Linked DNA regions of Arabidopsis thaliana. Each later gene encodes a partner of the first gene's protein in a complex. Each region holds a gene or a part of one and is shown in the gene's direction. Other genes may lie near its edges.

Region 1 (14,912 bases):
CGCTCCCTGATCTGTAGAATCCTTCTGCGTTCTCTACGAGAAATTTCCAAGTGTCCTCCGCCTTGAAAATCGGGCGGTTGCCGTCTCTTGTCGCAAATATCATCGCAGCGAATACTCCACCGACACCTGATCCGGCAGCGACGTCGAAGTAATCGGCGATTCGAGCGTTTGGATCGCCGGATTTCTCTTTCAGCATTTGCTCTAAATAGATTAGGGATTTTCCCGCCAAAAGACCTCTCATACCGCCACCGTCAATGCTCAAAACGCAGATTCTTCCTCTCGGACTTCTGAAAGATGAAGACGGTGTTCCCGGGAGAACGACGCCGTTTGGAGTCAACGGTGATCTGGGAGAAGGACCTGCTTCGGAATCACCGGGTCGTAATGGACTCTGAGGAATCCATAGTAGCCTTGGGTCTTCGTAACCAAAGAGAAATTTGCTTTCGAGAATTGAGAAGATCTCGTAATTGAGCTTATCATCGGGTTCGTGTGATCGAGCCGTTGATAACGTTGGACTGGTTTGAGTCCTCTCGTAATTTCCAGGAGTGTTGGGAGCTGTGTGATTGACAAAATGCTTCTTCTTCCCTTTGGAGGAAACTGACAATGGCGGTGGCTTTTCGTAGCGCCGATTCATAATCGTTAGCTTTTAGACAAACCTTGAAATTGAAGCTTCCGTAGCTATAGTATGAGAGGTGTTTTTCAAAGACGTGTGCAAAAGATTTTAAAAATAGATTTTGATTTGGATTTTGTATGAACCAAATGGTGTATGTTAGCATGACATGGCTAAGCACTACTCGTGTGCTTGGAAAGGTCTGGTACCCACGTCCGATGCCTCCTCCAGCAAATTTAGCTCATATAGAATTTTCTTTTCTATCTTCTTTATTCTTGAGTAAACATATACTAATTTATTTAATTTGTTTAAACATAGCAGTTTATTGGTTGGTTGGCAGATATACCTAATATATCCAATCACATAAAAGTATTCGAGGAATGTTATTAATTTATCTGAGTGCAATCTAAATTATCTAATTAAAAAACAGTATAACACAGTTCACATTTTCTTACTCGAATCTCAGTTTTCACATCGAACAGTTAGATTGTGGAAGCTTTCTTAAAAGACAAGAAGAAAAGTGAATGAAGTCAAAATTTGAGACATAAGAACAGATGATTCTTCTTTTCCCAAATGGATTCCAATCTAACGTATCACAAAACATGAATTCCAAGTGAATTTTTTTAAATAAACACTCTCATGTACCTTATATATCTATAATCTTAAAATACAGCAATTTAATATATCTATATGTATTATAAAGATCATTTTATCACTGGAAGGTAAAACAAGAAATCTTCAGATGATAACAGGAACCAGATGGTGATATTATGTCTCCCTTGTAGTTTACACGGAGAACGTACCAGACAGGTTCCCAAGTGTTGCAAGTGGCGATCCTGCATCTGTGAAGTAGGACGCGAGATTGATCCCCGAGTAGTCGTATTTGTTCAAGAAAGGATGTTCCTGAAATTGTTTGACACAGAGTATGATTCAACATTTCAATGGATGAAAAACATGCAAAAGGGATTATATAAAACAAACCATCAGTTCCTTTGCAGAGCTTCGACTGTTTGGATCCTTCTGCAAACTGGATGAGAGTGTAGAGTGGAATATGTTAACTTAGTAAAGTAATCTCAGTAAAAGAGGGAGCAGGAATTTTTTGAGAGATTACCATGTGGAGATGAATGAAGATAACTCAGGGGAGAAATTTCCTGAAGGAAGAGCGGGTGGCGGTTGGTCAACAATGGCTTCCATCAACTCGAAAACACTGGTCCATGTTTCCTCTTGATTCGGAGGTGCATAAGGGAACTTTCCTGTTGCACATTCGAGTACTACTAAACCCAAGCTCCATATATCACTTTTATTTCCGTACTTGTTTCCAACGATTCTCTCTGGCTGTAAAAAGGAAAAATTAAGATTCTCAATTTTTATAACACTCGAAAGGGGTTTCAAACTAGTCAATGCTCAAGAGACAAATAAGATACTTACAGACATATAATTGTAAGTCCCCACAAATGTGTTTGCTAAACCTGCGGTGTTTGTCATAACGGTACTCACACCAAAGTCAGTTATTTTGACTTCTCCTCTGTGGTTGATCAACAGATTGGATGGTTTCAAGTCACGATGGATGATATGCCTATCGTGATGAAGATAGATTAATCCTTGAAGCACCTGCAATAACAGAACCAATAAATCACATCAATCAACCAATTAACAGTGAAGCGTATAGTTTCCTGTGTATCCTGTGTTTCTTACTTGTCTAAAGATGGCAGAAAGATAGGAGTCAGGGATGGCTTTAACTGACTTGAGAAAGTCTGCTAGAGATCCTCCGTCCATGTACTCCAAGATTAGTGAGATTGCGCCATTGTCATAAAATGACTGGTACGAGGTAACAAGATTTGGACACTGTGACGATTGATTTATTTTGAGCTCTTGTGCAATTGCCTTGCGAATTGCTTCATCAATATTTAGTTGAATGACCTAATCATATAGCATCAGAGTTATGCACAGTGAGTGACAAGGCAAGGAAGAAAAAGATTTGTAAATCTTCAAACACAGAGAAAAGATGAGGAATTTAGCTCATCATATACATAAAAGAATCTGAAGGTTAACCAATGAGTACCTTCAAGGCGAAAAATTGGCCAGTCCATTTGTGTTGAACCAGCTGAACAACACCACTACTTCCTTTGCCAATGACTTTAACCATATCCAAATCCGACAAGCTCAGCTGATCATCAGCTGGCTTAATTGGAGACAGCTGAAACACAGTCGCAAACGAAACAGATTACAAACAGTAATCTAGAAGATATGAGCTTAATCCCTGAGTTTCTCTATCCAGAACTACAGAAATGATCTTAAGAAGGTTCTAATTATGATCAGATCCACCAACCACATTACAGTTAATGCATTCAAACTCAACAAAATCTTCATATGCAGTACAAATAAACAATCAAACCTAACACTCGCGAAATTCAGTAAAATCAGCACCGAACGAGGAAGAGGAAAGACTTACGACTTCAGGCTCCAATTGAGAAATGATTCGAACTCCATCCTTGTTAACACGTAGATCTCCATCCTTAAACGTACCGCTTTGAGTCCTACAGAGAGAACCAAAACCTTTCCTCCTTCAAAAACAAAACCAGAGACATTTCCACACACAAATACATCTATCTATCCACAGATCCATGGAGAAAGAGAGATCGAGAAACATACAGGAATTTGGTGATGGATTGCTCGCCAGCAACAGGAATTGCGAGCTTGAGATTATTGCTGAATCCACCTTTCTTCATCGTCTTCGTCTACTTCGTTCTTCGCTTCTTCCTTTTTGTTGTTTCCTCGTCATTATATATTAAGTAAAACACAGTTTTAAGCATAATTCATGTACTTTTCAGCCAGAAATTGGAATTTGGAAATAAAACAGCCATTAATTAATATTAGTCAAGCACATGTTCACGACGTTGACCAACGACTTAGAGACTTTCCCATTTACTACTTCTTTTTCCCGGTTTTCTTTGACCGAAAAGTTTTAATCCACATTTTAACCGGAAACAAACCGGTTAATTCAGTGATTCTTCGTTCTTTAGCTTTTGGTTTTTAAACACTCCCAAAATCACCACTACAACAAAACGCTAACGCAGAATGCCAAACTAACGTTTGATATTTATAGAAAGTTTTCAATATTTCAAATATTGTTTGATCAAATACAATAAACACATATAACAAACAGTAAAATCTTTACTTATGTTTCTCGGTTTCATGTTTGAAGATAACAAGGTTTTCTTCAACAAGGAATATACAAATAAGCATACACCCCTATATTTGTTTTACTCATGTATACATTCAATTACACATCGAAATTATCACACAAAGAAAAATTGTTTCGAATTGATTAATCTATCTATCAGTATACTTCATGTCTAGTCTCTATAACCAACAAGAACATGCTATTCTTCAACATTGTCTATATATTATAAGCCCTATATACATTATATAGTCACAGACTCAGAGAGGCTCCACAAACGATTTCCCCAAACATAATCCTATCACAAATTGCGGGGGGCAAGAGCTACTAGAGGCAATGATCATGAGGTTCGTTCATATCTCCATCATGTTGAAGGAGAATTTCGAAAGAAGCTTAGGAATTTGCGACATGATCGGCCCATAAGTCTGCAACGCATAAATGAAACATCACAACACATAATTAAATACAGCTTGATTGACTGACCCTGTTAGTTTTACCAGGAACATCGATTAAAAGTTCACGATGAGTTAAGGGCAATGCAAGTAAGATAGTACATACCTTTTCATTTTCATGGAGTTGACACAATGGAACAGCGAGGAGTTTGAAGTTCTTAGGCACAACAAACTGTTGATGTACCGGTAATCTCACAAGAAAAAGCTTTGTGCATTCCTACACAAAAGATGAGGATAGAGCAGAGCTTTTAGTATAAGCGCAAATCTTCAAAAGTCTCAACTTTTTCTTACAATGAAAGTGAAACTAACTAACCAACCTTTGGGTGTTTAATATTAGGTGGCAAGAAAGGATACATCAATGTCTCAAAGTTGGGTCTCCACCACATCCCAATACATTCTCCTACCTACAACAATGTTGTAATTAGAGAGACCATTCTTAAGCCAGAAACAATCAGATACAAAAGCACTTTAACAAGAAGCCATAGTTCCTACCTCATAACCCGAAACACCCACATTTTCGTTAACCGATAGCTTTGATGCTAGTTTCCGTTTTAGACCTTCAATATCTAGAAGATTAAGGAGAAACATGACTTTAGCGTTTAGAATTGAGACAGCGATATTTATGCATAAAGATGCAAGGAAACAGCATACTAAACCTGATTCTCCAGGTCTCAAACGACCACCAGGAAGCTTGAAAATGGAGTTTCTATATTGAAGAAGCAAAACATGAGGATGCTTGAACAACTCAACCTGATGTGTCCCAACATTAGATTTTAATCAATCCTTTCAAACCAATTTTCCCTGTAAAACTTTTCAAAATCCCTAATTTGGCTACCAACTATAAAATTACCAGAAGAACAGCTTCAACGCAAGTTCTCAATCCATGAGCAGCATAACTTCAAAAGAAACAAAAAAGAAACTTTAGCTATAGATTAAAACAATAAGAAAAAAACCAGATGATCTAAATCACATCAAAACTCGATTTACTTGGATTTCAATCTGATGACTCGATCAGAGATAATCTCGTCCTTGACGCGAAGAGCTTCTTTTGAACCGAAGTAGTAGCTGCTAAGCGGGTATAAATCAACCATCAAGTCATGAACGACATCGTTTCGTCTCGTCGTGTTGTCACTGATCTCCTCCATATCTAACGCTCGAGCTTCTTCACCCATTTTCTGCCCGTAAAATTCAAAGACGAGAGCTAAAAGCGATCTCAATCGATTAAAATTAAATAACAGAGAGACCACGAGAGCAGAGAAGACGCAAGAAGAAGAGTGAAGAAAGGTGTCGTAGTCGGATCACTGAGACGTGGCGGCTCCAGAGAGTACTTCTCCGCAATTAGCTGACGACGGCGGGAGAGTGAGGAAGAAGATATTAATGGGCCTGTTACGATATTAATGGGCCTTTAGTAGTAAACAAGAATACGGAACGATGTTAAACACTCTATTGTTTCCAACTACTAAAAACGACGCGAGTTTCTATTTTATAACTAAAAAACGAGAATCAAAGTCTCTGTTTCAAATTTGGGTCTTTTGCTTCTTCTTGCTCACTTGAGGAAACACAGTAAAAACCTAAAAAGAGAATGAAACTCGCAGGTCTGAAATCGATCGAGAACGCTCACGAAGATTCCGTTTGGGCAGCGACGTGGGTTCCGGCGACGGAAGATCGACCGGCGTTGCTTCTGACTGGATCTCTTGACGAGACGGTGAAGTTATGGCGACCGGACGAGCTGGATCTTGTGCGGACTAATACTGGACACTCTTTGGGAGTAGCAGCTTTGGCTGCGCATCCTTCTGGGATTATTGCAGCATCTTCTTCGATTGATAGCTTTGTCCGTGTGTTTGATGTTGATACTAATGCTACGATTGCTGTTTTGGAAGCTCCTCCTTCTGAGGTTTGGGGAATGCAATTTGAACCTAAGGTAATTGACTCAATGAGATTGCCTCCAATTTTAGGGTTTTGAAGGATTTTGGGTTGTTTTGTGGTGAAAGAATTCGATTGCTTCATTGAATTTCACTTCTTAGTTGCGAGTAATGCTTCTCCTGATCTATATAACAATGCTTGGGTACTATATGGAATTGCTGAGTATCGTTTGAATCTGTAGCTCTGATCAGATAGGGTCATCTACTCTGCTCGGAAAATAGATCTAGATCATCTTCTGATTTTTCATTGAGTCTTATATAGTAGATTAAGAACAATTTATTGGTGCTTTGATGATAAATCTTGATTTGGTATGATAGAATTTTGACCTGGTGACTATCAAGTATCAGTGCAATGATCTCTCTTTTAGTTTGCAGTGGAGTTTTTATTTGCTTCTGAGCTTATAATTTCAACATTACTCTTTAGAATGGTGCTCTGCTAACATAGTATTTTACATGTTCCAAGGGTACGATCCTTGCTGTTGCAGGTGGAAGTAGTGCCTCAGTCAAGCTTTGGGACACTGCAAGCTGGAGATTAATCTCAACTCTATCAATCCCACGCCCAGATGCACCAAAACCTTCCGATAAAACCAGCAGCAAGAAATTCGTTCTCTCGGTGGCTTGGTCTCCTAATGGGAAACGACTTGCTTGTGGTTCAATGGATGGTACGATCTGTGTTTTTGATGTTGACCGCTCAAAGCTACTTCACCAGCTAGAAGGTCACAATATGCCTGTAAGGTCCCTTGTGTTCTCCCCTGTAGACCCGAGAGTCCTCTTCTCTGGATCAGATGATGGGCATGTGAACATGCACGATGCAGAAGGGAAAACGCTGTTGGGGTCCATGTCAGGGCACACGAGTTGGGTGCTGAGCGTTGATGCTAGCCCAGACGGTGGAGCCATAGCAACCGGCTCAAGCGATAGAACTGTGAGGCTATGGGATCTTAAAATGAGAGCTGCGATTCAGACAATGAGCAACCACAATGACCAGGTTTGGTCTGTGGCCTTTAGACCACCAGGTGGAACCGGTGTCCGGGCTGGTCGACTTGCTAGTGTCTCTGATGACAAGAGTGTATCGCTCTATGATTACTCATGAACAATTCGGTTTTTTGACTTTTTTCTTTTATGCATTCTCCAAGACGCATCTAGTTGTAACAATATAATCTGCAACAGGTTGATTTTGACCGGAGTCTTTAGATTTATCGCTTACACAAAAAACAAAGAAGATAAAATGATTCAAACTTTGCGATAGAACTTTATTGGAAAACTGAGAAACAGATAAAGATCACAGAGAGATGAGTTGAAGAGTAACGCAAACAAACGTCTAAAAGTTTTCAAAAAACAAAACAGCTAAAGATTATGGTCTTGTCTCTTATGACGTAAGTGTATTACTTCCTAAGTAACTCTTGAGAACATCCATGACAGCTCCGAAATCTGCTTTCACATCAACAGGAGGATTGGAGAATCTGCAAGCCATGTCAGGGATGGCATTGGAGTGATAATCTATCTTAGACTGAGTAAACTTCAACCCATGAGCAGTACTCACTACCACAGTTCGATCAGTCGGTGCAATCACTCCTTGATTCCTCAGCTTGAACAGAGCAGTTAGAGCAACACCTGTATGAGGACAGATAAACATTCCTGTCGAATCCGCTTGAGCCATCGCATCCATCAGCTCCTCCTCTGTGGCTTCTTCTACAATACCATTGCACTTCTTGAGAGCGTACACAGCTCTATCGATGGAGACAGGGTCACCGATCTGAATCGCAGAGGCGAAAGTGGTACTTGCAGTCATGGGCTTGAAGTCCTTCCAACCAGACTTGTAGTGCAAGTAAAGAGGATTAGCATTAGCTGCTTGTGCACAGACCATCCTCGGGATCCTATCGACAAGTCCCAGTTCTTGACACATCTTAAACCCTTTGTAAAAGGCATAGATGTTTCCTAGGTTACCTCCAGGAACAATCACCCAATCAGGAACTTGCCAATCAAACTGCTGCAAAATCTCAATAGCTGCAGTTTTCTGCCCTTCTAACCTCAAACTATTCAACGAATTCGCCAAATAAATCGGCAATTCCGCAGTTATCTCTCTAATCAGCTTCATACACCCATCAAAATCAGTGTCAATACTCAAAACAAACGCACCATTAGCTATCGGCTGAACCAGCTGAGCCATAGAGATCTTGTTCGCCGGTAAAAACACAATCGATGGGATTCCAGCGGAGGCGCAGTAAGCAGATAGAGCAGCAGAAGTATCTCCGGTGGAAGCACATCCGACACCAACCACAGGTCGTTTCATCTTTCTCAGACGATTAACTTGACTAACCAAAACAGTCATTCCAAGATCCTTGAAACTTCCTGTATGACTAATCCCACAGTGTTTCACCCACAGATCATTCATACCTAGAAACTGCTTACCAAATCTCTCTGCCCAGAACAGATTCGAGTTTCCTTCAAAAGCTGAAACGATGTCGTCGTCATCGATCTCAGGAAGAACCCACTCTTTCTTCGACCAAACACCCGATCCATAAGGCCATGTGCTTTTACCAACACGCGAATCGAAGAGATCACGCCAATACGCGCCATCGAATCGCTTCAAAGCCTCCATATCGTGTTCGACATCAAGCAAACCACCGGAGCGGCTACGGTACACGATCTCGTCGAGAGAGTAAGACTCCGTGGATCCAGGAGCTGCATTAAACGGAACGTATTTAGCTGAAAATGGATTCACGGCGTTGGAACGATTACGACGAGCCTCATCTCGAATGTTATCCTCGGTACGGTGAGGAGGCTTGACCGCTGTCTCGATCGGGGCTTTGATGTTGTTGCCATCGGCGGTACAGGAGATGACGACGGGGCGGTGGCGGAGGAGAGAGGTTGACCGGTGGCGGCGGATGGGGTCTTGTTTAGGGTTTAAGGACGATACAGAGGCATTGAAGAGACAAGACGAAGCCATTTTTTCTAGAGAATGAGAAGTGAGATGCGGCTGAGGATTTTGAGGAGAGGACACGAGTGAGAGAGAGAGAAAACTATATTCAGATACTTAAACCGGAAATGTCTTAGAACCGGCTAGTCGGTTTAAGCTTTTAGGTTAATTGGGATTATGTATGTGACGTAGAGAGATATTTTGGGCCCATTAATCATTCAAATATCTGGATCGCTTTCCGTATATAGCAATTGAATATTTATGTTTTGTCACGTTTTGCTTTAAACAGGCTAATAAAGTGCATGTTATAAGGAACATTCATGTTGATGACAAAAAGATAAAAGGTTACATTTGACCCAAAGAAAACAATAATGTTGAACATAAAAATTCACATAAGAATCACGTTTTAATTTTGATATAACACCAATACACCATCATGATATAGATTGAAACTCTAGTAGTAACAATGTGTAAGTTGGCCAAATTTGTAATCAATTAAATACTGCATCCAGAGGAATTTGATGGAAAATGAACAATTACATCTGAAAGCAACATGTGAACACTCCAAGTATCCCATATTACTTGGTTCGAATTGGAAATCTTTATAGAAACAAATATCAATTTGAACCGGGTGTATATTTATAGATATGTAAGTATAAATCTGACTAAACTGTCACAGACTCGAATTTATTTGACAAGAAGAAGGAGAAAGTAAGAAAGGACTGGACTCAAATTCTATAAAACTACACAAAAGAGAAAACAAGTCAATCATTGCTATAGAGTAATAAAACATCTCTATACATTTTGAGTAGGAGAGATTCAAAAGGGGACACCTAAACGGGCGGTATGTTTGAGAAGGAGAAACCTTTGTATCCTTTGTAAGCATAATACGCAATCCGTGTATAGTAAAACCCGGGAATGAACAGAAGACACCCGAGGACGATGAAGAAAATCCCTGGTTTCACCATCAAAAATATCAAACAGAGAATGATAGGTCATTGATGCAATGATGAGAAAGAAGTAGTTCCGGCAAAACGGAAGAAAACAGCAAATCAAATGAAATCAAGTTTAAGTACAATGCTGATACTTGCTTTCGCTTTGCAGTATTGCATTGGGGATGTATGAAATGCATTAATGAATTACAAGCCCAGAGGAAGAAGAGCAAACTAGCTAATTTGAAGTGAATCTCATGTCTATGTTACAAGCAGAATTGGGATATATCAATAACAGTATGTGATGATAGTGATCTAAAAAGTTAATGGAATCCAACGGAGATCCTTCCCTTTTTTATCTCACAGATAAGAGAAGCTTAGAATCATCATATACTAGTTTCTATCGGAAGTTTACTAATCATTCTAACAATGAAATCAAATCGTATGCCTTTGGAAAACTTGTGTCTATTCATCCAAATCTCCAGAAAACAGAGAGCAAAAGGCCAAGCTGAAACGAAATTACACTCCACCGTAGCTAACCAGAGCACTTGCAATCTATATCTATCAGCTTAATTACCAAAATTATAACATAACTTCACCAAATCTAAAAAAATTCCTAAAACAATCTAGCTGAAATCAATTACTGTTTTCTAAATCTCTCAAACTAGCAAAGATAAGTCCCACATATTCTCTCATGAATTCCCAATTTCTACTCCAAGACTGGATCAATAAATGTGGAATAAGTAAGAAAGGTGAAGAAATCGCTACCGTGGCCTCGATCACCGCCAACTCGATTATAAGCCATGAAGAAACCGGAGACAATTCCTAGGGTTCCGAACACGAGTAAAGCCACCGCGAGTGCGATCTCCTTCACCGGCGGTCGGTTATTGACGGTGTATGAAGTCTCAATCATAATGTCCTCGTCCGTTATCGAGAACGCATGGTCGACGTACGCCATTTTACACAGCTTCCGGATCAAAGATCAATGGGAAACAATCAGGACCGATCTAGAAGAAAGCAGAATGACGATTGATCTAGAGCTCGAGAAAGATGAAATCGTACTGTTTGAATTTTAGGTCTTCAGATGTTATGAGTCTCCTACGACGGTGACGGATTAGTTTGGTGCAAATGCAATTTCTTTTGGTCGTGAAATCTACTCAACGTACTATGATTCAAACTACGCGTCGTTTGATTATTCTTTTCTCCGAAAACGGCAGAACGTGCGAGTTTGAACAAATCAAACTAATCAGTGGGCTATATATAACAAACCAGAAAATACTCTCTGTTTTTCCATTTGTTTTTTTGATGATGACATCATGTATATTTACCAATTCAAGAGATTCAGGTCAAGAAATCAAACCAAAACCGAACCATAAAGATCAGAGAGATTTATGGGGAGGATATAGTTTCCAGAGAGCAACAGTTGCATCTTCAGACGCAGACGCCATTAGCTCACAGTCTGGAGAGTAGGACACAGCGTTGCACTGCAAACAAAACACATGAAGGCATCAAAATACAAAGATTTAGAAAATGGTTGTCTCTCAACTGTTGAACCAGTCTAAGAAATTTTCACATACCGTTGCTCGGTGGTACTTTAGTATTGCTAGAGCATTTCCTTTGCGGTAATTATAGACTCGTATTCTGTTTCCAAATATGTAACAAACAGGAGAATAGTTTTTAGTCATATGCATCAACTTTTTTTCACACTGGACGAAGTCTAATTGATTTATTCATATGTTTTGTTTCATATTGTGAAAATCAGTGCATAGCATGAGGATGCTAACCTGTGGTCCCAACCAGCCGTGGCTGCAATTTTCCCATCGACTCGAATTGAGGTGCCCGATACACCGGGCCTTTCCAAAGTAATCTCTTTCCTTATTGTACAAGAACCCTACAATCATATGAAAAAATGTCATGGAATCAGTATTAAACTATAGCTTTACGGCAATCACACAAGTGCATCCTCTCTAGCAGATGTCAAACTTACAGTTGAATGGTTGAGATTATACATCACAATTTTGTCATCTGCCCCTCCTGAGATTCCTCCATCACATGATGATGCAACACTAAGACTTAAAACTGCATAAAGAATACGAATTAAGTAATTTGGAAAATTCAGAGAGCAGGAACAAAATATAAGAAAAATCTAAATACAGAGGATGGAAACAAGACCTGGCTCTGAATGAAACTTCACACTTGTTAGAGGAATCTTAGCATTGCGTATATCCCAAAGAAGTATTGAACCATCCTCATAACTGCGCAAGTTTGGAATGAACCACCCATTATAAAAACAAAGTATGTAATCTTGAGATTTGTCTTTCTTGATTAATGGAAAAGAGCTTAGGAAAGAGAGCATACCCAGCTAAGACATGTAAGAAACCCTGTGATTCAGGAGGGCAAAACAATTGAACAGCCATACACATTCCTGCAGATGACCATATATACGACCTTGATGAAAGTATTTTAAGCAAGTTCAAAGGTGAACTAATTTGAAATTTTTTACTGATGCTAAAAAACATCAATTTTAACAAGAAAATGTACATATGAAGGATCTCACTGAAAGACAAATATGAGCTCACCTCTTCCTTTGGTAGAAGCATTGGGGGATTCGTCAGGGCTACTTTGAGGAAGCTGTATTATCTTGTCTCCGGTATTGAGATCCCATATCTCTACCTTTATGGATAGACCAAATCACAAGAATGAAACACAGGAAATGAAAACCAATAAAAGAGGAGAGAAGAAACAATTTTATGACTTTTCCAAAACAAAACATATATGAATTTCTAGTCACCTCAGTAGGTTGCTCCCCTACTACTGCTACAAAAGTGGTACCTTCAGCATGATCTTTATCTGCTAAATTTTTTTGTAATATGAGCAATAAGAAGAAAAACAGTTATTTTGCTAACAAAATCTTTAGACAACGCAAGTAAAACATACCCTGAAGCAAACCAGAATCCTCCTCAGATCGTTCACTATCATCAGCAATTTGAACATTACATGTGTCTCCACCATCCTGCTCATCACAACCCCGTGAGTGACTTTCAGCTTCTTGCAGAGAATTCTTAGGCTTCTTAACAAGAGAGAACTTGCAAAAATGATAGGCGCATGTCTCAAGTATTAGTAATGGGTCTCTGCCAAGTATGTCACAAGAATCATTGGTTATAGACTTATAGTTCGATAGAAACAAACGCATAAAAAGTCGAATAAGGGGGAGATCATATTCACCTTGATAGACCACCATCTTCAATATCCCAACACTTAACAGTTCCATCTCTTCCCTGGCTATAACCATCAGAGTAACTAGCTCAGATTTTCCGTATATAGATTGATTATGAAAGCATGATTGCTTACGTTTTTACCTGATAATCTTGTCCTCTCCTAACCAGGGACTAGCTGCTACAGCTAAAACCCCATTTGCTCTACTATGAGCCCTACAAATCCCAATAGATACAATGAGTGCTAGCTACTTTATAATGATCACAAAAACAAAGAATTAAAAAAATCAAAAATCACAAACCAAGCAGAAGAAACTGCACGGTGCTGAATAGTATCCCAAATCCTCAACTCTCCATCAGCTGAACTGGAGAAACAAAGCTTCAATTTTGCACCAAATCATCATAAATAAAAACAATAAATGACTCGAGAATTTCTCACAAGTGAGAGAGACGACTAATTAATATATACCCAGTGAAAAGCAGAGATTTTGATGGATGGAAGGAAACATCCATAACAGAGTGACGGTGCCCTCTAAGCACAGCCACTGGATCAGGCGGAGGTCTCTTACTCATCTCTGATTCAACTACTACACAAAACCAAACTCTTGTAATAGAGAAACCAAGCGAACACACAACTTAATCGAATCCAAGTCTCAGACTTTAACAACAGGAACACCGAGAAAGAGAAAGCCTTTGAAACTCTCCCTTATATCAAAAACTACGTGTCGTTTAATATTAACTTTTTTCTAAAACGGCACAATGTGCAAATGTATTCATATAGCGGATAACAATATCCAAGTTTCCAAACAAACCAACTCTGAAACTGTTTCACTCACATAATAAGAGAACGAAGAGCTAATTGCTGAAGAATCCGACGAAAATGGCTCCGAGATCAGATTCACAAACCCTAGCCACCGGCTCCGACGAAAATGAATCCTCAATCGATCCGATCTTCCACATTCTCCGTATCATCCCTTTCTCCTTCCTCCGACCACCACGTCTTCGTCTCAAGCTCCCTTCCTTCACTCTCCCATCTCCAATGACTGTCTTCTCACTGATTCTCCTCACTTACTTCCTCGTCGTCTCCGGTTTCGTCTACGACGTGATTGTCGAGCCTCCAGGTATCGGATCGACACAGGATCCAATCACCGGGTCAGTAAGACCCGTCGTGTTTATGTCGGGTCGGGTCAATGGTCAATACATCATTGAAGGTCTTTCTTCCGGATTCATGTTCGTACTCGGTGGGATTGGAATCATAATGTTGGATCTGGCATTGGATAAGAATCGAGCTAAGAGTGTTAAAGCATCTTATGCAACAGCTGGAGTCTCCTCCATTGTGATTGCTTATGTTATGAGTATGCTCTTCATTCGCATTAAGATCCCTGGTTATCTCCGTTAGAGGGTTAGATCACTTTTGGCTTCAATTCTGTAATTGGATCTTTAGTATAAGATCGATCATTAGAAAAAATGTGACTTTTTGTTTTGTTTGTTTGCTAAAGCTTATGTGTTTCTTGTTTGATAATGAGAATTTAGCTTTGAATGTTAGTATCTGCACTTGCATTATTGTTGAATTTTGCGTTGAAGAAGATAATGGGAAATTTTCTGTAACAGTTATATGACAACACAAACAATAAAGTAGAGATTTTTGAAGTTTGGTTTGTTGGATCGCTTTGTTGCTTCAGGTGT
Region 2 (17,096 bases), on another chromosome or scaffold:
ATGTGCAGAGTTTCAAAATTGTATTAAAAATACAAGTTTTGTCAGAACAATTATGTTTAGAATTTCAATTCCATAAACTACAAAAATGATTATAACTTGTGGGATTAAATTTACATCAAAATCTGAAATCTTCCGGAGCAACAAAACTACAACTTGTACGATCGATAATCAAAATTGCTCAAATTTGGCTCAAATTATTCCTTACCAAAAATCCATAGACCTCAAAGATCATTATATCTATTACTCTAAATTTAATTAAAGAAACAGATTAGCTTGACTTTTAAGTTTGTTTTTGTGTTTCCGCCCTGAAATATGACTTGCATTATACATAGCTTCGTTCGAGCAATCGACCTGGCAAAGCTTACAGCGGAAGGTTTTCGATTTTGCTTCGGGTTTGATTACACCAATGACATTAGCACACTGACAACAAAAATCAATTAAGAAAATGGTTTCAGCTAAAGAGTACAAAAAACTGTCAAAACTATTATATCAACATTCCAGTAAAACATTATTTCCCACATATATATATATATATATAATCACGTTTAAGTAATTATCACTTCACATCATCATCTACTAGGTTCCCAATTTTTGAAAAAAAAAAAAGTTATCAACGTGGGCTCAGCTCTCGGCTTTTATCCAAAAACACAGACGAGACTAAATGAAAACCGAAACCAAAAGTTGTTCAACCAACAACTAAAGATGAGACTCAAAAGACAAGTTTGGGAATTAACAAACTCTAATCGCATTATGTCTTCCCTCCAAAATCTTATATGAAACGATTAGGGGGTCCTGCAGATGCGCTTTTTGGAATGCTCGTTTTGGTCTTCAAGTTTTTCTTGGTGGCTTTTCCCTAAGATGTGTGTTTCATAACTTGCTTGGCTGCGGAAACGCAAACGGCAAACTCGGCACCATGCATACTTTGGTTCGGTTGAATTACTGACAAGAGGGCGTCCACGGGCTACTAGCTCAACCTACACAAGTTGAGAAAATGTACAACAACAATTGTCAAGACTATATCAACATAAAACATATATATATATGTGCCTCACATCTAATGCCCGTAGAGTGAACTCAAGATTAGGCTTAAAGAGAGGACAATATTCAAGCACACATTAAGAAAAAGAAATGTATAGCTTACGTTAGCTCTGTGCCTTCTACCAGAGAGGTGAGCGGTTAAATCATGGTTTGAGCAAGAAACATTGCATAATTCACAAAAACTCCGGCCCCTCTTGGTCCCTTGAGCTTGTTTAGGACCCAAATGTCTTGATACCTCATAGGCAGAATCATGATGATGACGTCTAGTAGTGAGATCAATAGGTATGTTAGGACAATCGCCATTAAAAATGCTTGTCCATAACCATACGGTCTTTGCAGCAGCGATGAGTGGCGTTGAAGCTTTCTCAGGTCGAGCCAAAAGAATGTTATACCTCTTCATACCTAGTTTGTGAAGAAGATAAGAGAAGTCTTTATCACCAGAGATGAGCATTATGTTAGCAGGAGCTTGGTTGTCCATTGCCCACAACATGATATCTACAAGGAGCTTCTTGTCACTCCCGTCTTTTACTCCTGTTAAATGCTCACCATCATCAAGAACATAGAGAATAATTAAGCCATTAGAGACTACAAAGCAAAGACTGGTCTCACTAACTCCAAAATATTCATACTTTAATTTATAGCTAATCAGGTGTTTCAAGAAGAGAGATTAACCGGCAGGGACGTGATTGAGAGATACGCCGGTGGAAGAGAGAGCTTGTTGTACAGAGGAAGGGATTTGATTTGTGTCACCATAGGCATAAATAGTGAGCGGACCACAGAAGTTACTTTTCGACAGAACTGATCTAATGCTCTGAGCAACCCCATGAGGGTCACAACCCTTTGGAACCTCGCAGTTCTCAATGTCCCACCAAACTGACGTTTTTGCACCAGCGAAATCCGCCTTCGCTGATTCATCTACGTCCGTTTTTGGTTGATGGGTGTCTTTGGCCGAGATGTGACTGAGTCCAAAGCGGTTAAAGACCAGAGGCTCATCAAGAGGAGCGACTTGATCGGTGTTGCCATGAGTAAAAATGGCATCAAAACTATTGAGAACCTCGCGGTTCTCTGTGTCCAGCAACGCCAATGATTTAGCAGTTGCGTACTCTGCTACTGTAGCCGCCATTTTTAAAAGAAATCAAGTGTTCTCAAACAGAGAAACTGAAATGGGAGGTCAGGGTTTAGAGATTGTGTATGAGGCGTGAGCTTTTGAACTGGAATTAAAAGGGGCAACGAGTTTTAGAAACTAACGGAGACACCCTAAATTAGTGGAGTATATGTTTTCTTGAATTTGAAATGTCCCTCAATTTTCGAAATTTAAAATGTGATCATATAAATTGTAGTATACGTAACGGTTTCGATTCTCAAGATTTTGATTTTGTTTTGAATATTACAAAATAATAAATGTAATTCGTTTTTTAATGGTTACCTCCGTTTACAAGAAATTTTAAAAACTTTGAAACGTTCACAATTAGTTATTGGTAATCTCTGTTTCTACACTTTGATTTTGAAGAAGAACGAGGAGCTTAAATGTAAAAACCTAAACAAGCCATTATCAAAATTTTGATAACTAATTTCATGAAATAGAAAGGAAAGGAGGTCAAAGATGAAATCAAATATATAAGCCATAAGTCGCTGAGAATAAAAAGAGAGGCAATTTGTAAACGAAAACTCATCAAAACAAAAATGAGAGGGAATTCTACTACTGGTTTTCATCAAATGCAACTCATTCCATTACTAAATCTCAAACATAAACCTTAAACTTGGAGTTGACCATCAGTCGCTATGATTTAGACAGCAGCTGCGATCCTTCCAGCGACTTGGTCGAGATCTCTCTGACCACTTGATGTGATCTTCCTTCCACTGGTTACATCAGAACATGTAATCATAAGCTAGCGAAGATGAACAATTGCTTCCATAGGTATATTAGTAAATGACGCAGTAGTACATTCTAAAACCATTTATACACACTTCATCTAGTGAGTTTTAATAGGTCACAATTACAGTTTCAGCAGATTTCTTAAGCGAAAATCGAATCCAAGTGTCTAACTTGTGTTATACAATTTTTATTTTCCTACAATTTCTTTGTACCAGTGTATTAACTTAATTTAGGCCAATGAGAAATCTAAACTAGAGACAATATACTTACCCCTTGGTGTCGAGGTCAACAATGTTCATGGTCTGGAGTTGCTGAAGAATGTGACGAGCAACACCACCACTGCTCTTGCAGAAATGAGGAGGACGGCTTCCGTTCCTCTTGCTTCCTCCATAGATCCTACGGAAGGCACCAACTCCAAGACCACCCCTCAGGTAAACCTTCCTAGCCATGGAAGCTAAATAGAACAGATAAAGACAATGCTAAATCCAATATGTAGAAGATTTGACCAGATGTTATATATACATACCAGCTCTGATGTAGTACCAGTCAGGGTCATATGGAGCAAGCTCCTTAAGTTTACCAGTCTTGACGATGTCTGTCCACAGAGGCAGCTCAATCTACATGGAAGGAACAACATTGGAATCAAAAGCAGAAACCTATCTTCACTGAAATGACACTAGCAAATCACTGTTTAGACTTTATTGAGATTTGTAGTTACGATTCAAAATGCTCTAGAGTAAGGCCAAATTCAAGTTTCAATCAGGCAGTGATCATTGCAGTTTCATGAGGTAATCGTAATCCCAAACATCAATCAAAATACTAGATTAGGGACAAACGATGCGGACCAAAAGCTAAGAATCACGATTCGTTACCTTGCCGGAACGCTTGAGATGGGCAGCGTAAGCCTTGACGAACTCGTGTGGAGAGACATCCTTCACTGTTTTACCTGTCGCCATTGTTGTCGCGCCTTTGATCCTTCTTCTCCTCCTTTGTGCTGCGGCGTCGGCGATACTTGAAGACGGGATTGAGGAATTATGATAAACGATTAGGGCTTTTGAGGAGTGTGTGTGAGCGGATTTTACATAACTACCCTTATTGTTTTAGCCTATGGGCCTATGACATATATTCGGCCCGCTAAACTCTGAACCCTTTGGAAAATATTGTGGTCCCACGTTTCTGAGAAAATTAAAACAAGGATTTTTTTTAAAAAAAAATTTTTTATAGATAAAAAAATAGAACAAAAAATAATATCACAATTTCGTAAATTATTGTTGTTTTTCCGAAAAAAAATTCTTTGTGGAAAATACACGAGTAGTCATATGTTATTCATCATTTTTCTATTTAAAAGTTTACTAAAAATCTGGTGAAAAATGATATACATCTTTTTTGTTACTAAAATTGTTTTTTGTTTATCTAAATGTAAAGATTAGTACCCACATTATTTAATTGTTTTGTCTATCTAAATTCATGTATTTTTAGGGGAATAATAAAACCAGTTACCAAAATTTAATATAGGGTTCAGGAAATTAATAGAAGAAGAATAATGAGATTGATTTACACAAAATATGGTAATTGAGTGGGGCAAAAATAGGATTTGAATTTCGAGTAAGGGGGTCAATTTAATATTTGAACCCAAATTATATACTAAATACCAAATAATTAAGCTATTAAATTTTTTTTTGTAAAAGTCATGGGGTCAAGTGACCCCCCTCCTGAAGCTGTACCTCCGCCACTGCGTATCACAGCTTTTTTTTTCTGAAATCAAAGTTTCGATTTTTCAAAGTAGGGGGAAATAGATTCACTGATCATGAAAAGTCTACTAATATTTCAAATATGGATGATTATTGTACCCCAAAAAATAGAATTCAAAAGACAGAATCAATACAAATTTGCGTAGTACATATAGGGCAATTATTGAACTAGAAATAAAAATACAAATAAGCAAAAGCTGGGATCGATTAAGACCGTACGTTTTCAGTTTCCAATCCATTTGTAAAATAAAGACAGAAAAGTATCCATCTCAAGTTTCTTCAAAGAGATGCCAATCTCGACGCCACCGATACCATCTCTCCTCTTGGACATAGAGAACTCATCGTTCTTGTAGATAGACATTGTCTCAGTGTGAATGGGTCTTCCCCACCCGAAGTCCGTTTCGTACATCCCAATCTGGTTCGACCCGTTTACGACCAACAACTGTGTACCCCATTTCATTGTCTTTGTTCCTTCCTCATACACTTTCCAAGTTGACTCTACCCCTTGTGAAGCCAAACGTTTGACCGAATCACTGAGAATCTCGACGGTGTTGACAAATCCATCTTCTCCCATAAACTCCTTAGCTTTGTATTTATAGAAATCCATGGCTAAGACACAAGTCCCGAAGTATGTCACAGGGACTGGTGGTTCTAACCGGTTCCTAAAATCAGCAGCGTACATGAAACGAACCGGTCGGTTTGGGTCACCACTACGTGCCTTCACCATGCATGTCCACACATGGGCGAACGTGACTACGAACGTTGACAAGTGAAGCTCAGCGCGTGTTGACTCTTTCTTGGCTCTCTCCTTGAGTTTCTCAATGTTTTCAGGACTTATCTCGATGGTGATTCGGAGGACGTTGTCTTTAGCGTTAATCTCTTTGACTGGAGGTAGCTTTAGGGTTCTTCCGTTCTCTTTGTCGTCCTCCGTAAGATACGGCAGAAGTTCGAGCATCTTTTGTTCAAGTCCGGCTGGAACATTGACGACAGAACGATCTAAAACCGTTGGTAGAATTTTCGGTATGGTGCCATGTTTACAAGTGTGAGCCCATGCTTTGTTAAATTTTTCAGCCGTTTTGCCGTCCAAGACGACATGGTGGGCTGTGGTTCCAATGCAGAAGCCTTGTTTCGGGAACAAAGTGACTTGCAGAGATACAACAGCCCCCGAGTCAGAATAAATCGGTAGCTCGGGTATTAGAGGGCGTAACTCTAGCTCTGGACGAAGCCCTCTGCCAGAGATACGTGAGAAATCCGCATCAGTCTCAGCCACTGTGAGAGAGAGTGTGTCTCCTGAGAGAACAACTAAATGCGGCTTTGGATCTTGTGAATCCCACTTAAGGTGACCCGTGAATAGGCGAAAGTGAGTGAGGATGAGTGAAAGAGATCGCTCGAGCTTGGGGAGGATGGAGGAGTAGAAAACGTCGCGAGATGATGATGATTCGGTGAGTTTGTAAAAGAAGACTTGCTCGGTAGGGTTGAGTTTAAGCCACTGTAAATCAAAGAACGAGAGTGGGACAATGAGCGGGTCGACGGAGGCGGTTGCAGGGCTGACTCGGGAGATCTTGATCACCTTTAACGCCATTTCTCACTTGTACTCTCGTCTTTTAGATAATATTCCTTTGTACGTATGAGTTTATTCAGCTGAGTATCAGATGGAGTTAACTCTTATACTAACATAACAAGCTACCGAGTCAGCCCTAGTCAAAAACGTTGGTTGGAAGCCAAGGCACGTAATTACCATTTGAATTATTTTGGTCCCTCCAGAGGCGGCCAGGCGGCTTAAGCCAACTGCGACTGCCAGATATCATAGATAAAAATTGTTATATATATATATATATATATATATATATAAAATATATAATTTTATTTTTGTGGTTTATATTTATTATTTTTGGTGGTAAAAACATTCTTAGAAGATAAATTTTTGTAGATAAAAGGCTGAAAAATAAATTTATGGAAAATATATAAATAAACATTTGTGAGCAAAATGTGTCTACATAAAATTGTAATTTTCTCGAGTTAAAAAAAAGCAAAAAGTGAAATTTCCAAAAGCCTTAAACTAGTTTGAGTAATTTAAAAGTGTCCATAGTTTTTTCTTTTTTCTTTTTATTCCATAATTTCTTGAGTTTTTCAGAAATTACTATAATTCTGTTTAAATTTTCAGGATTTCCTGAATATTCATGATGTTTAGTTGTCACTTAAGTTTTCATAGAACACAAGTCGGTTATGCTTTTACCTAATCTTTGTCTCTTGTTAATTTCTAAAGCAGATAAAATCTATAAACCAACAACAATGTTTTAGAAGAAGACATAACATTTATTTTGGCAACTCAAGTTATTTGATCAAAGAAGTTAATAATTAGTTTTTAAAATAAATTAAATATAAAAAAATAGGGGCCAAAAGAATCAGTTAAAAGGATGTTGTATCATTCATATACATAGGGGCCAAGGCAAACACAAGCTCACTATCACAAAGAAACTGGTATCCATAACCCAAAATTTGTGGGCCAAAAATATTGAATTCCAATCTCAAAAAAGCCCATAAAATCCCATCTTTTTTCCCTCTCTAGTCGTCGTTACACGTAAAAAAAATGATTTTTAATAATCCGGTAATGCGTTAAAAAAGATATATCGATGAAAATTTCCTTTTCTTTGTAAGTTGTAACAATTGTTTTTAATAATAATAATTCTGATGCCATAAAATCGCGAGGTAGAGATGAAAAAAAAATAGCTTCTTCAACAAAGGCCGATAACAGTGAACCCTTCGTCGGAGCTCAGATCACGAGCCGCCGTCACCAGCTAAGAGGCAGTGACTTTTGAGTAAGTGAGGCGAAGATGGTTAAAGGAGAAAAGAGATCCGAGATGATGCTTAATCTGTTCGGAGATAATTCCGAGGAAGAAGAGATCGAATCCGAACATGAATGCAATCGTCGTCAGCCTAACTACGCTTCCGTAACTCTCTCCATCTTTATCTCCTTCGTTTCGTCACTATTGATTGTTTCAGTTTTCGTATTTTTCACTGCCACTGTTCTTCAATTACACCTTGGAATACGAATGGTTTCTGGAGTTCTTCTCGCTTGAATTTAGGGTTTTAGGTTAATTGCAGGAACCAATGCAACTTATTAGGCCTAATTCAGCTTCAGTTCTTCTTAATATCAACTAGACTAAGATATCAGTGAAATTGTGGCTGAAATTTCCAATGTAAACACTGATAGGATGAGGCTGAGGGCGGGGTGGAGCCTGAAGGAGAAGGTGAAGCTGAGGTTGAAGTTCACGGAGAAGCTGAAGCTGAGTCTGACGGGGAACAGGGAGATGTAGAACTTGATCCTGGAGAAAGTGAGGGTGAGAGGGAGCAAAGTTCACAGGAGGCTGATCCACAAGAGGAAAGTGAAGCAAGAGATAGTGATAGTGATAACAAAGAAGAAGAACATGGGGGTAGAGTAGCCAAAAAGAGGAGACAGGAGGTTGTTGAGAGCGGATCAGAGAGGTCTGGTGAAAAGCATTATGAGTCTGAAGATGAAGAGGTTGATCAGACTAGGAGTCCAAGGTACCCCTTTTTCCATTCTTTTTTTTCCTAGCTGTTTCATAGCTTCTTTTTGATCTTTTCTGTGCTCTGGATTTAATAATACTTGCTAGTCCTCTGAGGTTCCTTGGATTTTCAAATTTCTTATGGATCACTTTGTCTTTTGTACATGGAAATATGGCGTGGTGGGTAGATCACCTAGTGAGGAGAAGGAAGAGGTTCAAGTTGCACAGTCAGACGTAAATATTCGTAATGTTTTCGGATCTTCGGATGATGAAGACGCAGAAGAATATGTTCGGAATGACGTTGAGCAGGATGAACATGTGAGTCTTGCATCTAATATTACATTTCAGTTTACAGAATATCTGTTTCCTTTCCAGTGTTTGCTTCCTTTTAGAAACCATATGAAATTGCATGTATGTATGATGAGATGTCTAATTTTGTAGAGATCGCCAATCGAAGATGAAGAGGGCTCTGAGAAGGATCTGAGACCCGATGATATGGTGCTTGATGATATAATCCCTGAAGAAGATCCTCAATACGAGTCAGAAGCTGAACATGTTGAAGCTAGGTACAGGGAGAGGCCAGTTGGTCCCCCTTTGGAAGTGGAGGTTCCTTTCCGCCCTCCTCCAGGTGACCCCGTTAAGGTATACCTGCTTTATGTTGCTAAAAGATTATTCGCTGACATGGCTTCAAATCAATAGTTTCCTTTCTGGTATTTCCAAGTTACCAAAATCTCTCATATCATTGTGGTTCGAAGAGTGAGTATCTGATGTCTTTTATGTGGAGAACCATTGCACTGAAACATGCTTCTACATTTACTTAGCATGAAGGGCCATTTGGTGTACATGAGCGTGCTATTCTGTTTTATATCTGAAACCCCATTTTCTAGTTGTCTATCTGTAGTGAAGATGTTCTGTAGCAAAATTGCGCTTCCTCATATACCGTTTTCTCTTTGATCTTTTTCAGATGAACATGATAAAAGTTTCCAATATCATGGGGATTGATCCAAAGCCTTTTGATGCCAAAACATTCGTTGAAGAAGACACATTCATGACAGATGAACCCGGAGCAAAGAATCGTATCCGTTTGGACAATAATATTGTTCGCCATAGGTTTGTTAAGAGTCGAGATGGCAAAACATATGTAAGTGAACACTTCTTCAAAGCTTTTCTGCTTTTAAATTTTCCATCAAACCTGCAATGAAGCTATGTAGTTTGCCTATTACTAGTACTTCTGATGCAATGATGTATTATAAGTACATACTTTTGATGCAATTTATGTATTCCGAATTAGTTTACTTTGTGCTTTTCACTACGGACATGTGTTCATATAGTTGGAGATGAAATTTTATGATATCTCTGTTCAACAGTTCTTCTTATTCTTTAGGCTTCATTAGAAATCTGCCCATAAACAAGAATTCTTGGTTTTGTTGCTTATTGCACACATTTCTTCTACTTTTTCCGTTACTTTTGCTGTAGTAAACTCAAGTCACTCTATATTCGTATGCAGAGTGAAAGTAATGCTCGGTTTGTAAGGTGGTCAGATGGAAGCTTACAGCTATTGATAGGAAACGAAGTTCTTAACATAACTGAACAAGATGCAAAAGAAGACCAGAATCACCTCTTTATCAAACATGAAAAGGTGTTACTTCGTCATTCCTTCTGCCTTAGTTAGCGATCAATTTGTAGTTGCTCCAGCCTCCTAGATACACTGATTCATTTTAGAGCACCCATACGATTCTCTATACTAAATGACAAAACTTCTCATTAGGAAACCAAATGTCTCCTGCATTCCAACTCTGCTATATCTCAAAGTGTTGTCTTATTTGGATGTTGGTGTAGGGTATCCTTCAATCACAAGGAAGAATTTTGAAGAAAATGAGATTTACCCCATCATCGCTGACGTCAAATTCCCATAGGCTCTTGACTGCCATTGTTGAATCGAGGCAGAAGAAGGCCTTCAAAGTTAAGAACTGTGTCACTGACATTGACCCTGAGAGGGAGAAGGAGAAGAGAGAAAAGGTTACCTCTTAATTGAGCTCAGACAATCCAACAATAGTTTTATTGCAGTGTTTGTAGACTTTTCTCATTTAATATCTCAAATTCTGAAGGCGGAAAGCCAAAACCTCAAGGCTAGTACAAAGCTGAGTCAGGCGAGGGAGAAAATCAAGCGCAAGTATCCACTTCCTGTTGAAAGGAGACAACTTTCCACTGGCTACTTGGAAGATGCTCTTGATGAGGTCTGTTTGATTAGTTTGTGTATATTGGGTTCTTCCATTTTCTAAAGCAAAGATTGCACTAGTAACGACTGATTGTTTCTTGGAACCAGGATGACGAGGATTACCGCTCAAACCGTGGCTATGAGGAAGATCTCGAAGCTGAAGCGCAACGGGAACGCCGGATTCTAAACGCCAAGAAGGTAAACAAAACAAAAACTCATATATCTCGGAATGCAAAAAAAGCATTAGAAATTGAACTAATATTCAACTGCTTCTCACTGGGGTAAAACCAGAGCCACAAAGGCATTCCGGGGAGGTCTTCAATGACTTCGGCCAGACCGTCAAGACGTCAAATGGAGTATTCTGAGAGTGAGAGAGAGGAATCAGAATATGAGACGGAAGAAGAAGAGGAAGAAAAGTCACCGGCCCGTGGAAGGGGCAAGGATTCAGAAGATGAATATGAGGAAGATGCAGAAGAAGATGAAGAGGAACGAGGAAAATCTAACAGATACTCAGATGAAGATGAAGAAGAGGAAGAGGTTGCGGTACGCAAATTAGAATGTTCTTCCATTTTTATTGTTGTCAATGAGGAAGTTCATTGAGATTGTAATGTGTGGTGAAATGTGGTTTATGCAGGGAGGTAGGGCAGAGAAGGATCACCGTGGAAGTGGCCGGAAAAGGAAAGGGATTGAGTCTGACGAGGAGGAGTCTCCGCCTAGAAAAGCTCCGACTCATCGTCGTAAGGCCGTGATTGATGACAGTGACGAAGATTAATCATGTTCGTCAAATCTTTCACTCTCCTTTCGTCCATTTGTTATAATGTAGTCTGGAATTAGACTCGTTTTAATCAAAATAAAGACAGAATCATGATTTTTTTAAATTCATGTAATAATGGATTTTATTTCCCTTCTGTAACTGTAATGAATAATTGGTAATTTGATATGGAGATAGTTCAAAATAACGTAAACTTGTTGACCCAAACAAATTTACCAAACAGACTGTCACAGAGTAAACACATTTAGTTTTAATCTCTTGATTAATTTATTATGTAGTCATGTAGCCCAATTTTTTTGTAACACTGTTCTACATAACGTTATGTAAAATTAACACATTTACCTTAAGCTCTTCATTATTTTTCTTATGTATCTCAAAAGATCTGTAACACTGTTTTATTACAAAACGTAAGGTAAAATTTGGTTTTACATTAAGAAGACGACAAAAAAAAACCAGAATTTTAAGAAAATTTTGACAATATATAAAACAAATTCCAAAAAAATATGGGGTTACTACAATCCATCATCTAATGGCTCATCCGCGTCGTGCAAGTTGTTCAATGGAGTGTTCTTGTTCAAACCCCAAATAACAATCCGAAACTAAGATGAGTTTCGTATCCTGGCCAAAAAAAAAAAAACCAATTCAGCAATAATAATATATACATAGAAGTGTAAGAAAGAATGATTTAGTTTGAGAAAATAAGTTGAAAATTGTTTGTACCTGAAAAGAGGTTATATTGGGAGGTAACTCCATGCGTGTGATCAGACGACCAGTGAACGAAACTCTCTTCACAGCAAAGAGCTCAGAAGTTGAAGTATCACCAAGAACCAACCACCACGCTTCGTCTTTCACCTATAACACAAAATAAACGTGTTGAATTCAATTTCATTTTTGTTTCGAGCTCAAACTAATCTGTGGTTAAGTCTTTAAGTGAAACCTTTGGGAATCGAGGGGCCAATGCCCTCGAGCTATTCCTCTTTGATGTCTTTTCCAATCTGATTTCCAGCGTTGAAGGCTTTTTCTTGCCATCGGAATCCTTCTTTTGGAGTCTCACATTCATTTGGATCCGTGGGAATCGTTGGAGATCCTAATTAAGATCGAAGAGTGCAGCAGAGAATAGTTGAGACTCCATGAGTGAAAGTATTAAATGCAAAAGAAATAGTTGTGACCAATTTGAGAGCACCTGAGATAATCTTGATGCAGGGAAGTTTTCGGTTACACTTTGTAGAGTTTCCCTTGGAAGATTTAATAGCTGATGTAGCGTGTGAATCCCTCTTGCGGTCAGAGATCCTAGAAGAAGGTCATTCATGCATGGGATCATCCATAATGACGAATCTTGATCAGACCACATGCCCTAGAATTAAAAAGAGAATTGGATTCCTCTTAATTTGCAAAAGTGAAATAATTTGAACAAGCTAAGAGTAGTAATCTTCAGGACACTACCTGCATGACCATTTGCAAAAGGCGCATACACGTCAGTGAGCTTGAGAGCCATCCACTGTTTGCGCAGATATCAATCATGGCCTGGAGGATCCGAATGCTTTGATCCAGTACTGACTTTAAATCCGTGTTATAATCACTGATTGGAAGTGCCAATTGAGAAAAATGTGCCTGGAGCAATGGATGTCATGCATTAAGAAGATGGTAACAATCATGAATTATATGATTAAGGCCCTGTTTGTTTCATCATTTATCATTTCCATTCAAATGATCCACTTACATGATTCATTTGAATGATACATTTGAATGATGTTTGTTTCGTTATTTGTAATTTAATATAAATGATGCATTTAAATGGATCTTTATTTGTTTGATCATTTTGTAGTTCATTCACATTTTCATTTAGATAAAAATAACTAAAATACCCATGTTTTCATTTTAACAAATGACAAATATTCAACATTATTACCCACTATCAATACCAAACATATTGGCGGGAAAATATGATTTTACGGTTTTGGCGGAAAAATACGATTTTACGGTTTTGGCGGGAAAATATGATTTTGCGGGAAAAATGATTTTGCAATTTTAGCAGGAAAACATGATTTTGCAGTTTTGGCGGAAAAACATAATATTGTCATTTTGGCAAGAAAATATAATTTAGTGGTTTCAGCGTAAATATAGTTTTATGATTTTAGGTGGAATAGCGATTTCTATAATTTTACATCAAAAATTATGATTTTGCGATTTTTGGCCAAAAAACGCAATTCCACGATTTTACGATTTTGACATAAAAGAATAATACGTGATTTCATGATTTTTTGAGAAATCTATAGAAAATAAAATTATTTAAATTATGACTATAAATGAGGGTATATTAGTTTTTTGTTATTTTTGGATGAAACATCTCCATCCAAATGGTTTAATCAAATTCATCCAAATGAGTTTCATAAATTTGCCTAAATTTAGATACTCATTCAGATGTATCATCCAGATGATCCATCCAAATGCTTGTTAAATTGTCAAAAACAAACATCATTTTTCATCTCCATTTGGATGGATCATGTGGATGGACAAACAAACAGGGCCTAAGTCATGAACTCACACAGTTTGGATTTTTGTTTCATTCTTCAGTGCATGATAGTGTGAAGAAGTACATACCTGGAAGAGCAGATTCGCTTTCACATGAGGATCATCTAGATGGTTATTATCCACGGGATACCGAACTCTATCTGACAGTGTTTTATTGTAATTTTCCTAAGGGACACAGATTTTTTTTTTTTTTGACACCATATCACTAAAGATACTTTTAAAAATGAACCATATATTCGTCAAGTAAAACAGTATAGACCAGACCTCATTGTGCCGCACAGGAAGTTCATCATACTCAGAAGCACCAGCCAAGATATGCAAAAATGCCTAAAGGGCAGTGGTTAGAAACCAAAGAAAAACAAAAAGAATAATCAATATAAACTGGATCAGCTTCTTACTTCAAGCGATGTGTCAGGACCTATATTAGAGCCAAACATAGACACGGTCATGTAGCAAAGGTAATACTGTGACGCTATTGTACCCAGCATCGTAGGCTCCACACTATCTTCATTTACTTTGAGGCAACCACTGTCTTCAAGATCCTCAAATGTGGTTTGCACCAATCTACACAAAAAGCAGCCCGCATACACCAATATTACAATGGTTCTAGTTAGAGAAATCTTCTTTATTTAATAACTTTGATATTTACCTTGATAAGTAGGAACAGATTGTTTCGTCTTGAGTACCTTCTAGCCCATAGTAAGCAGGATTAGCCATCTGTTACATCAAATACCAGATTGAGTCATGAACTGGTTATTCTGCAGTAATGGAAAAATCTGAAAGGAAAAAGAGAATCTGGCTGCAGGGAACTGATCATGCTTTTAGCACAATTTTTCAAGGAACCAGAATCACGTTCTCAAGTAGTATCTCGCTTTTTAATAAAACTGAAGCATATTTACCAGTCTACGAAACAAATACGTCCATGTAAGATAATGCACTGCATCTTCTTTGTTGCCTATTGTTCCAGAGACGATTTCCGCATTGAAGTGATCGTGCAGCTTCTCTTTCAAACTACTTTCTACGGGGAATGGTTCGTACAAGAACTGCATGCAGAGGAAGTATGATCTTTTTGAGGTAAATTGTTGCAACGGATACCAAAAATTGCCAAATAATTCCAACTGAGCTTGACCTTTTTGTAAAAGCTTTTTTTAGGTTCATGTACAAGAATAACCGCTTTCCCATGTTGGTCAAACTGTGGTCGCCCTGCACGTCCCATCATTTGCAAGATCTCTGTAAGAGGGAAGTCAACATATCTTTTGGTTTTCCCGTCGAAATATTCTGTTCCCTGATAGGAAACATTGCCAAAAACAACGGTATTAAAGAGAAAAGACAAATCATTAGAGGAGAAAATCCAAGAAAGTGATCCCAAACATAATAATAGAAGAGGACCTTCTTTTACCTTTATAATAACTAAGTGAGCTGGTAGGTTCACTCCCCATGCCAAGGTACTTGTTGAGACCAAAACCTGTAATGGAAGCATGGATTCCATCATCAATCGTAATGTAAAAGTGTAACCATGGATACGGTAAAGGCAGCAGAGAGAATATGTTGAGGAAATTGCCTGAATCTTGTTGTTCGTGAAAAGCTCTTCGACTGCAGATCTATCGTGGTCGTTTAAACCTGCATGATGCAGTCCGATGCCGAATTGCAACGTATGTCGAAGGTTTTGATCAGTTATCTGTGAGAGGACCATCTGCAAGTCTTCCTCTGACACACTCAGAAATTGCCGCGGATGTTCGTCGGAGGCAGCAAACTTCATTTCATAGGAAAAGAAGATACAAAGGATGATACAAATTAGAGTTATATAGTTAAAAGATGATTCGGTATCGGTGTTTGATGATAAATCATGCCTGAATAAGATCCAATGCAGTAAGCCTTGTCTGCCTACGGGATGAAACAAAGATAAGAACAGGTTTCGTAGGTGAATGAGTACATATGGCTGCATATGCTGGCTTGTTCATGCTATTCATCCTTGGGCAGTAATACTTTCCAGGATAACCCTGAAAACAATAAACAAGGTTAAGTCTGGAAATTTCATACTTGTATGGTTTCCTTGAATACCTTTAATCCACCCACCGAAAATGGAAATTAAATAGCGTAGTCAAGTACAGTGTAGGAGACATACATAAATTTTTTGTTTAAGAAAGGTATTAATTGTTTGCAAACTAGAGAAAAGATATTGACTTACCTGAATATGAACTTCAATTGGTACAGGCCTGACGCTTGGTTTAAAATTGAAAAGTCCGATCTCCCCAACACCCAACCAGTCAGCCAAATCACTGAAAAGGGAGACTTGAGAGAATAAGTAAAACTGGCTACCAGAAAAATTGGGAGTAAGGTATATCTTAAGCCATCTTCCACATTAACATTTTCTAGTAAATAAGACTAAAGTTGAAAGTCTTTCACTCACAAATCACACTATAAGCACAATGTCATCAGCACAGAAAAGACACGAATAACAGTCTACCAGCTCGAACATTCAGTTGCGTGTTTAATGATAATACATAGAAAAGAGCATATTCAAAGAGTCTGAGAAGTTAAAATACGAACCCTGCATTTGCCAGAGCTGTAGAAAGCCCAACAAACCGGACGGAGCGCTCTGTCTGTGATGATATATATCTCATCCTAGATACAATAACCTGGAAACCAAATGTAGATCAAAAATAAATCTGGTGGAACACATAACTTTGAAAAAACCTGAGCCGAAAAGATATAAGCTCTTCACCAAGACCATAGATACATTGCATGTGTCATGATATAACTGGAAACTTCTAACCAATAGATGGAGCTTAGCGTAAGTACTTAGAAAATGGGATATAATAGTTATTAAGCTTCTACCTCAAGAATCGGTCCTCTGTCGGCTCCAAGCAAGTGAATCTCATCCAAAATAACAAGGCCGACCTATATCCCCAGAACATCATAAGTTACTGTTCACAAAAAAGGCAATCTATTGACAAAAATTTACCTTTTTGACATAACTTCGAGTATGCCAATTACGACTAATGCCATCCCATTTTTCAGGGGTAGATATGATGATGTCCGCGGACAAGAGAGCTACTAAATCTGGAGTGTAATCTCCAGTCATTTCAACCTGTTGAAATGCAAGTGTTAGGAATAATATTTGGTAGCCAAATAAACAGCAATCATGGATTATGAGTCTGCAACATGTATAGATGCTCCGAGGCAATATCCTCTTACCATTTCTTTTCCAAGTGGAGCAACAAGATGCTTTTTCCAATCATTCATCCTTTCTCGAACAATAGCCTTCAGTGGTGCTATGTAAACAACCTGCAAGCCACAAAAATTTAGGCATCTTCAGTAAGATAAAATAGAACACTAGAAACTAAACTAAGCCGTGATTTGATATCATTTTAGAGATTCA

Evidence for each region.
Region 2: VIP3 (region 1) and VIP4 share a complex: the UniProt entries of both Arabidopsis thaliana proteins name them as parts of the nuclear PAF1 complex.

What each region holds. Positions count from the first base shown.
Region 1 is NC_003075.7:14,591,906-14,606,817, forward strand, and holds VIP3 (Transducin/WD40 repeat-like superfamily protein), read left to right. Parts: upstream 1-5,653; 5' UTR 5,654-5,822; coding exon 5,823-6,161; exon of another isoform or gene 6,162-6,318; intron 6,319-6,625; coding exon 6,626-7,252; 3' UTR 7,253-7,395; downstream 7,396-14,912. Other genes in the region: PLP8 (PATATIN-like protein 8), read right to left, coding at 1-631; MKK2 (MAP kinase kinase 2), read right to left, coding at 1,394-1,510, 1,589-1,634, 1,719-1,942, 2,036-2,218, 2,303-2,527, 2,670-2,804, 3,060-3,171, 3,260-3,336; homolog of CFIM-25, read right to left, coding at 4,142-4,213, 4,347-4,457, 4,558-4,644, 4,733-4,806, 4,897-4,990, 5,091-5,136, 5,228-5,412; MTO2 (Pyridoxal-5'-phosphate-dependent enzyme family protein), read right to left, coding at 7,529-9,109; AT4G29850 (transmembrane protein (DUF872)), read right to left, coding at 9,913-10,034, 10,780-10,969; EMB2757 (Transducin/WD40 repeat-like superfamily protein), read right to left, coding at 11,391-11,495, 11,589-11,652, 11,796-11,902, 11,999-12,090, 12,184-12,266, 12,370-12,436, 12,591-12,684, 12,803-12,861 and 5 more; AT4G29870 (Oligosaccharyltransferase complex/magnesium transporter family protein), read left to right, coding at 14,107-14,625. UniProt on the Arabidopsis thaliana protein: Component of the PAF1 complex (PAF1C) which is involved in histone modifications such as methylation on histone H3 'Lys-4' (H3K4me3). Involved in regulation of flowering time. Required for the expression of the flowering repressor and MADS box gene FLC.
Region 2 is NC_003076.8:24,597,932-24,615,027, reverse strand, and holds VIP4 (leo1-like family protein), read left to right. Parts: upstream 1-7,302; 5' UTR 7,303-7,499; coding exon 7,500-7,616; intron 7,617-7,879; coding exon 7,880-8,211; intron 8,212-8,380; coding exon 8,381-8,510; intron 8,511-8,633; coding exon 8,634-8,834; intron 8,835-9,156; coding exon 9,157-9,333; intron 9,334-9,699; coding exon 9,700-9,831; intron 9,832-10,031; coding exon 10,032-10,211; intron 10,212-10,300; coding exon 10,301-10,429; intron 10,430-10,518; coding exon 10,519-10,608; intron 10,609-10,701; coding exon 10,702-10,953; intron 10,954-11,044; coding exon 11,045-11,182; 3' UTR 11,183-11,394; downstream 11,395-17,096. Other genes in the region: AT5G61180 (Putative endonuclease or glycosyl hydrolase), read right to left, coding at 783-974, 1,142-1,623, 1,711-2,161; AT5G61170 (Ribosomal protein S19e family protein), read right to left, coding at 2,826-2,898, 3,185-3,368, 3,441-3,531, 3,787-3,870; AACT1 (anthocyanin 5-aromatic acyltransferase 1), read right to left, coding at 4,889-6,247; AT5G61140 (U5 small nuclear ribonucleoprotein helicase), read right to left, coding at 11,717-11,800, 11,903-12,034, 12,120-12,269, 12,366-12,536, 12,626-12,793, 13,784-13,879, 13,979-14,041, 14,113-14,278 and 11 more. UniProt on the Arabidopsis thaliana protein: Component of the PAF1 complex (PAF1C) which is involved in histone modifications such as methylation on histone H3 'Lys-4' (H3K4me3). Involved in regulation of flowering time. Required for the expression of the flowering repressor and MADS box gene FLC.